Sus scrofa: one gene and its partner. The protein of the gene in region 1 interacts with the protein of each later gene in a biochemical or structural test. Links are inferred from orthologs where the notes say so. Each region holds a gene or a part of one and is shown on either strand. Other genes may lie near its edges.

Region 1 (4,278 bases):
AGGACAAAGGATTAAGTGGGAAATCTAGTGTTCCTGCCTGAATAGGCTTTTGGATATTTTGGCCCTAAAACTCGGGAAAGTGGGCTTGGAAATAGAGGTTTGGGAAATAACCTCTTAAGGTGATAGTTAAGGCAGAGAGAAGGGTGAGGATGAGGTCACCAAGGAAGGAAGGTTGAGCAAAGAGGAGTGAGAACAGGCTTCTTAGGGAATGCTTAAATTCCAGAGGTCTCCAGGCAGGTTGGACAGAAAAGCCCAATATTTGCCAGACAGACTGGTGGGAGCTGGGAGATTAATGCTGGGTACCCAGAGTGTGGTGCAGTTTTGTTTAAATTCCACAGTGATCTTCCTCAAGTACCTTCCACTTTCCCCTGTTTTAGAGACATGTTTATCTTGCTCTTCCCACCTAAAAATTTAATCCACCCTATTTCACCCCCGTGGGAAAGATTTCTGGTGGAAAAGCATATGAAGTAATAGGTTGATGGTTCTCCAACTGGTGTGCATAGAACCACCTAGAGAGCTTGTTAAAATAGACTTCTGGACTTCACCTTTAGAGTTTAATTCAGTCGGTCTAAGGTGAAGTCCAATAATTTGCATTTCTAGTAAGTTTCCAGGTAATGTGGTGGCTGTTGGTTTGGGGCCACAGTTTGAGAACCATTGGAAAAGGTAGCCAACTGGTTTTTGCTCTGGATTAAATTTCCTTAATGAGTTTAAGATACTGATCTGGGCCCTTGAAATTGCCTCAAATGTTTAATGCCGCGGTGTATGTCATGATAGGGCTCTAGTGTGAGGGGAGCCTAGAATCACCTTGCAACTCCCTTCTGGAGTGGTATTGATTAGTGTATCTCGTGTTGTGCCTATTAAGGATCTCCATAAATATTAATTTATTTCACGCCGTCCTTGGCCTTAGAACAGGCGAGGGAAGATGGCATATCAGGCGGAGAGGCTGCACCTGGCCTCCCAGTCTTGAGTCCATCTCTGCCGCTCACCACTAAAGGGGCGGCAGAGAACCGTCGTTAGACCCTTTCAACGGTTCCCTTGGCTTTAACGGCTTTAACTTCCCAAGGGCCTTGAGAGAGCCCAGAAGGAACTGGCGCATGGACCTTGGTAACAAGAAGTGAGATTAGAACTGGCTTATTGCGCCCGAAGAGAGCGTCCTCTCTCAGGTGGTGGGTCCCCGGCTGGCCCTGCGGCCCCGCCCCCTCCTGCCCCAGGGGCGTTCCCGGCAGTCGCGGCTGGCGATCCTAACGGGCTCGGGAGGCGGCCCTGGGCGCCCCGCCTTTCCCCCCGCCCTCCCCGGCTCCATCTTGCCAGCGACCGAGCCGGAGTGTGTGTGACGCTGCTCCCCGGGTTCAGGTGAGGAACGGCGCCCCCTGCCCTTGCCACCGCGCGTCCCCCTCGGTCTTGTCGCCGCGGCCCGCTCCGAGGCCTGCCATCCGGGGGAGGGCGGGGCCCCGCGCGTGTCCTGGAGCCGCGGGGCGGTGGAGGGGCCTGTGGGCCAGCCGGGTGGCGGGCGTCGCGGTGTGCGCGTCGCGGGACCCAGGATGCCTAGTGGGGGCGTTGGGCCTGGGGCGTATTGGGGCGGAATCTGCGCGGCGACCCGGCTACCGGAAGACCTGTTCACTTGTCTGTCCACAGTTTGGAGGAAGCAATGACGCCTCCCACGCAGGCAGGTGGGCCGCAGGTGGAGGGACTGAGGCCAGGGCACGGCCCTGCTGAAGCGGCCTCAGGGAGGGCTGAGTAAGAAAACCAGCGAGCAGCACCGAAGGCTAGTCCAGCCGGGGGGGTCTAGACTTGCTGGTGACACAGCAAATTTAGGGAAACTTAAGAAATTTGTACTTTGCTTAGAGACACCCCCTTCCCCCGCCCCCAGGACAGAACCTGTAAACCTGGCTCAGGTCTATAATCCTTGGAAACTCTCCTAGGAAGTCGCATTCCAGATTTGGTGCCTATTCCCTGAACAGCAGCAAACATGTGAGCCCAACCTGTGTGAACACTTCTACAGAAGGAAATGCTTGTTGTCCCCCCAAAAGTGACAGAAATGAAGTCTTCTAATTGCTTTTAAACTCCCTCATTTCTCCCAGTTGATGGGTAGCTGATCTGATAAAGTAATCTGTCCTAGTTAGATAATGCCTGGAATGAGTTACTTCTCAGGCAGGGAAGCAGTTTCAAGTGGATAGGCCGCTAAAAGAGAATTTTGCCCTGAGCCTTGCAATCCTCTGGTGTTGGTTGCCTACCCTGCCCATGCAGAGGCTAGTCAGGACTCCAATTCTCTACTGAAGGGCCCTTGCTGATGGATTTAAAAGGTCCTTCCCAATCAAGAGACACGTTTTGGAAAATTGTAGTATCTGCTCTTGGCCATCTTCATTCACTGTTCCTGTTTCATATTTGTTTCATTAATTTACAACAGCTGCCTCCTGTGTTCTTGGGCTTCATGCCATTTATGAGACTTGCATAGTGAGACCCACGCCTTTTAGTAGTTGACTCACTGGGTGGAGATGCTTTGTGGAACCAAGATTACTTTCCTAGTCATTTAAAAGTATTTGCTGATGGAGAATGTTAAAAAGAAAATAAAATTTCTGGTTCACTGGTGTAGTCTAATTATTCCTTGGGCAAAATTGAGTTGTTTGTTGAGTCACCCTTGAGTTTGTTTAAGCTTTTTACAAAAGCTTTTTAAATCTACTTTTTGAATAGATGATACATGCACAATTCCAAAACGGTTAGGTGCATCGAAAAGTAAGTCTCCTTGTTATGTCCCAGCCCTCCTCTTAGAAGGCAGCCACTATTAACTGCTTTCTTGATTGAGTATACTTTCAGAGATATTCTCTCCACATACAAGCAAATAAATGTATTTTCTTTACACATTTGTTTGCAAAGTATCTATGCAGTTTTCCACCTTTCTTTCCATTTAATGTGACTTAGAGATAGTATCACATATGAGTAAAAAGAGAGTTGCTCATTTTAAATAGTTCCATAACATTTCAGTGTATGGTTACCTATAATCTATTTCACTTGTCCCTTTTTAATGGACTTTTAGATTGTTTTTATTTTTTTATTTTTAAAAAATTTTTTTTTTGTCTTTTTTTTTTTGTCTTTTTGCTATTTCTTGGGCCGCTCCCACGGCATATGGAGGTTCCCAGGCTAGGGGTTGAATCGGAGCTGTAGCCACCGGCCTACGCCAGAACCACAGCAACGCGGGATCCGAGCCGTGTCTGCAACCTACACCACAGCTCACGGCAACGACAGATCCTTAACCCACTGAGCAAGGGCAGGGACCGAACCTGCAACCTCATGGTTCCTAGTCGGATTCGTTAACCACTGCGCCACGACGGGAACTCCTAGATTGTTTTTAATCTTTTTCCATTACAAGTAGTGCTGTAATGAAATGAATAGCCTTGTATGAATATAATTTTGCATTTGTGCAAGTATTTCTATAAGGTACATCTTGGAAATGGAATTGCATTATAGTCCTTTATATACTTATATATTTTTTTAATTATATGGCTGCACCCATGGCATATGGAAGTTCCCGAGCCAGTGATTGAATCCCAGCCGCAGCTGTGACCTATGCCACAGCTGTGGCAATGCCGGATCCTTTAACCCATTGCACTGGACCAGGGATCGAACCCATGCCTCCACAGAACCTGAGCCACTGCAGTCAGACTCTTAACCCACGCACCACAGAGGGAACCCCTATATAATTATTCTTCAAAATGTACCCAAATTCATTTTCTTTAAATTGCTTTAAGTTTTCTCATATGCAGATAGTCTACTTCATCTTCATTCTGTTCTGAAACTCTTGTTGACATAATTCCTCTAGGGTCCTTAAAGGTAAGATTTGATATAGTAGCTAAAGAATATAGAAATGAACTTAACTGTATCTTGAAACAGTTCTCAAGATTTAGAAATTTAAATTGCTTATGTAGTCTTTGGTGCTGTAACACTTGTTGCCTTTAAAGTTATGAATTTCTCTCATAAATTGTTTTCAGATTTTTCCCCTTTCTTTTGACCTTGACCTCTTTTGCCCTTGGTTCATCTGACTGTCCTTAGATGATGTTGTTTCTCCTTTATTCATTTTATCAACTGTGGCTTAGAGAAGAAAGCAGAAAATGATTTAACCTGTTCCTTTGCATCCAGGTCTTTGGATCCCAAATGACTATTTTAGAACTGACCAAATCAGTTTTCTTATTATCTCCTTTCTTCCTTTCTTTCTTTCTTTTTTTTTTTTTTTTTTTTTTTTTTGCTTTTTAGGGCCAAACCTAGGACATATGGAAGTTCCCA
Region 2 (3,490 bases), on another chromosome or scaffold:
CATTCCTAATTAATTTGAAGGTAGCCAAAGTAGTGAGAATTTTTGAAACTGTATTAATATGTATGTGCTTTTCTTGATTTAACAGCTTTTAACCTGGAGACCTGCCGGCTTATGGTTTCAATGCTGGATGTATCCTTTACCTTGATTGCTGTCTAGAGTATTTTTTTCTGGCTGGAAAAATAAATTTTTCCTGAGGATTAAGGAAGTAAGAATTCATTCCTTGGAGTTCCCGTCGTGGCTCAGTGGTTAACGAAACTGACTAGCATCCATGAGGACACGGGTTGGATCCTTGGCCTCGTTCAGTGGGTTAAGGATCCAGTGTTGCTGTGAGCTCTGGTGTAGGTTGCAGACGTGGCTCGGATCCCATGCTGCTGTGGCTATGGTGTAGGCCAGTGGCTACAGCTCCGATTCAACTCCTAGCCTGGAACCTCCATATGCTGGGGGTGTGGTCCTAAAAATACAAAAGACAAAAAAAGAAAAAAAAAAAAAAAGAATTCATTACTTGGTGTGAATTCTTAACTGAGATGCCATTTGCTGTGAAAAAGGAGAGAAGCATAGTAAATAGAGCATATTGATTAGTTAAGAATTTGAGGAAGCAGGAGTTCTTGTCTTGGCCCAGCAGAAACGAATCTGACTAGTATCCATGAGTTTACAGGTTCGATCCCTGCTCACTCAGCGAGTTAAGGATCCAGTGTTGCCATGAGCTGTGGTGTAGGTCACAGAGGAGGCTCGCATCTTGCACGTTGCTGTGGCTATGATGTAGGCTGGCGGCTACATCTCTGATTCAACCCCTAGCCTGGAAACTCCCATATGCCACGGGTATAGCCTAAAAAGACAAAAAAAAAAAAAAAAAAAAAAAAAAAAAAAAAAAAACCCAAAGAATTTGAGGAAGCACCAAAGGCAAACAAGGACAGAAACTAAAGCAGTGGGGGGGGAGGCTTTGGCACTTGTGAAATTGATGACTCTGCTCAATTGACACCTGACCTTCAAGCAATGGGATTTTTCACATCAGGGTTGTTAGACTTGGTTGAACTAGTGCTGACCTGGTGGTGCCTTCTTCCCACCTCATTTTCCAAAGTGAAAACACTGGGTTTGGGAGGGTGGGAGGGTTCACCAGGGGAATGGGAGGGCTAAAGAGGACCGGGGCAGACGGCTCAGCCTTATTGCCTGGGCCACCAGAAAGTGCAGCCCAGTTTGGTCCCCTGACTGCTTGTTACAGGTGGTGAACAGTGGCCTCTTTATTTCCTTGTAATCCTATCATAAAGATTACCTTTTTCCATAGTGGAACATATATACTCAGAGCTTTTTCTCCACAGGCCCTTTTTATTATATATTGGGGCATCTTTGTCCTATCATCCCCCAAAAATGTATAACTTTTGAACCCTTTCAACTGAAAGAACATTGAATCCCCTCATCCTTGATCTTTGATTTAATCATGAGAAACTATTACAAGCTCAAGATGCTGTAATCCTTGATGACAGTTCAGAGAGATATGTCCGGCACAATGGGTTTCAATGAATTCAAAGAACTCTGGGCTGTGCTGAATGGCTGGAGGCAGCACTTTATCAGTTTTGACAGCGACAGGAGTGGGACAGTGGATCCTCAAGAACTGCAGAAGGCCCTGACCACAATGGGTGGGTATGCCGGACCCCCACGCTCTTCATTGGTAGGAGTCTTTTTTTTTTTTTTAATTCATAAAACTTAAGTGCCACGTGAAAGCGGTGTCTATTTTCCAGAAGTCATGTGTATTCATAATTTAAAGGAGCCCTGTCTTAAACAAATGTGCTTGGTTATTTTTAAAGGTCTTTTTGTAATCCTTGAACCTTTTTCTTTTCTTTTTTTTTTTTTTTTTTTGCTGGATGATTTCTCTTCCTTCCAGGATTTAGATTGAGTCCCCAGGCCGTGAATTCAATTGCAAAACGATACAGCACCAATGGCAAGATCACCTTTGATGATTACATCGCCTGCTGTGTCAAGCTGCGTGCTCTTACAGGTGTGGCCTCTGAGGTTGCTGTTAATTGTAGTAGCCAGCAGAATCACTCTGTTCTCTCAGAACATTTTTTCACATTTCTAAGTAATCTGCCATTCAAATCATCCTTACTCAACTTTGCTAAAATGGTCTAAAATTTCACAAGCTAACTGGTCTGTTTTTGGTCAGAGTGTGAACAGTATCCTGTGATTTCTCCCTAGACCGTGAAACACTTGAGAAGAATGAAATTATCCTTTGGTAGTTTCTCTTACCTAATTCCTCTTGTTGAAAAGTAATGTAAAATAATAGTCTCTGTCTCACATGTGCTTCTTAAGCAATATCAATAATCTCTACTTTTCTCTCTCTTTTTCTTTCTTCTGCATGTTTTTTTTTTTTTTTTTACTCCATTCCTCTCTTTAGTTTTTTACCCTTTTTAATATCTGGTTTTATCATTTTTTTGCACAAATGCAAAGACAGATTTTTAAGTAAATCCTTTTCATTTAATAGGACAGAGCTCAAAGAGGTGGAATATTTAAAATGATCACAGCTGTTTGTCCTACTAAAGACACCATCCATCTTCTAATTAAACAATAAGAAGTCTGAAAATATGTGCTTCCATTAACAATTAAGGAATGGGGTGTTCCTGTGGTGGCTCACTGGGTTAAGGACCTGATGTTGTTTCTCTGAGGTTGTGGGTTCAATCCCTGACCTCGCTCAGTGGGTAAAGACTCTGGTGCTGTGGTGTAGGCCTCAACTGCAGCTCCGTCCAACTCAAACCCTAGCTAGGAACATCCATATGCTACAGGTGCAGTCATTAAAAAAAAAAAAAATTAAGGAATGGCCTGAGAAGTCACATGGCTTTTACTGACTTTGGGATAAGGTGTTTTCTTCCAGCTACAGGCTGAGAAAGACAGTTGGCCAACTTCTGCATGTTGTATTACTTGGTTGCATATTAAATCTATTCACATTCGTATAGTTGGCTTCTTTGCTTTAGTCTTTGTTTATATTGGCTGGTTGAACAGTTTAAACCCACTTTAGACTGCATCTTGAACCCAGTACCAACATAATTAACAATTATGATTTCAGATAAGATGTTTACACAACACTCATAAATTTGACTGTGGTGTTTTACAGACAGCTTTCGAAGACGGGATACTGCTCAGCAAGGTGTTGTGAATTTCCCATATGATGATGTAAGTCTCAGTAAATTCAGAACTGGGTAGACAAGGAAGGCGTGCGGCAAATGGGCATCTCTTTGAAGTTGGCTGTTGAGAGCATCTCAAGGATGCCAGCACAACCGAGGATTAAATGACCAGGAGTTCCCATTCAAAACACATTGAAAAACCTGGGTCAGAGCCCAGCCTGTAGCAGGGTCACTCAGACAGGGCTCTTCGTTTGCTCAGAGATTATTTGAGGAGAGAGGAAGTGGTAATAATGCAGTCTCCACTGGGCTCTTGTGAGATTTCAATCAGAAATGTCCTTGAAAAAACCACGCAGATGTTATATCTGCAATTTGTGCCT

The links.
Region 2: the proteins of ANXA7 (region 1) and SRI interact in a biophysical measurement, tested with the Homo sapiens proteins (2 studies listed by BioGRID and IntAct, with this or other methods). The link is inferred for Sus scrofa from reciprocal best matches to the Homo sapiens genes ANXA7 and SRI.

The regions. Positions count from the first base shown.
Region 1 is NC_010456.5:76,231,572-76,235,849, reverse strand, and holds the start of ANXA7 (annexin A7), read left to right. Parts: upstream 1-1,203; 5' UTR 1,204-1,353; intron 1,354-4,278. UniProt on the Homo sapiens protein: Calcium/phospholipid-binding protein which promotes membrane fusion and is involved in exocytosis.
Region 2 is NC_010451.4:68,495,506-68,498,995, reverse strand, and holds part of SRI (sorcin), read left to right. Parts: intron 1-85; coding exon 86-129; intron 130-1,486; coding exon 1,487-1,634; intron 1,635-1,879; coding exon 1,880-1,993; exon of another isoform or gene 1,994-3,103; coding exon 3,104-3,162; intron 3,163-3,490. UniProt on the Homo sapiens protein: Calcium-binding protein that modulates excitation-contraction coupling in the heart. Contributes to calcium homeostasis in the heart sarcoplasmic reticulum. Modulates the activity of RYR2 calcium channels.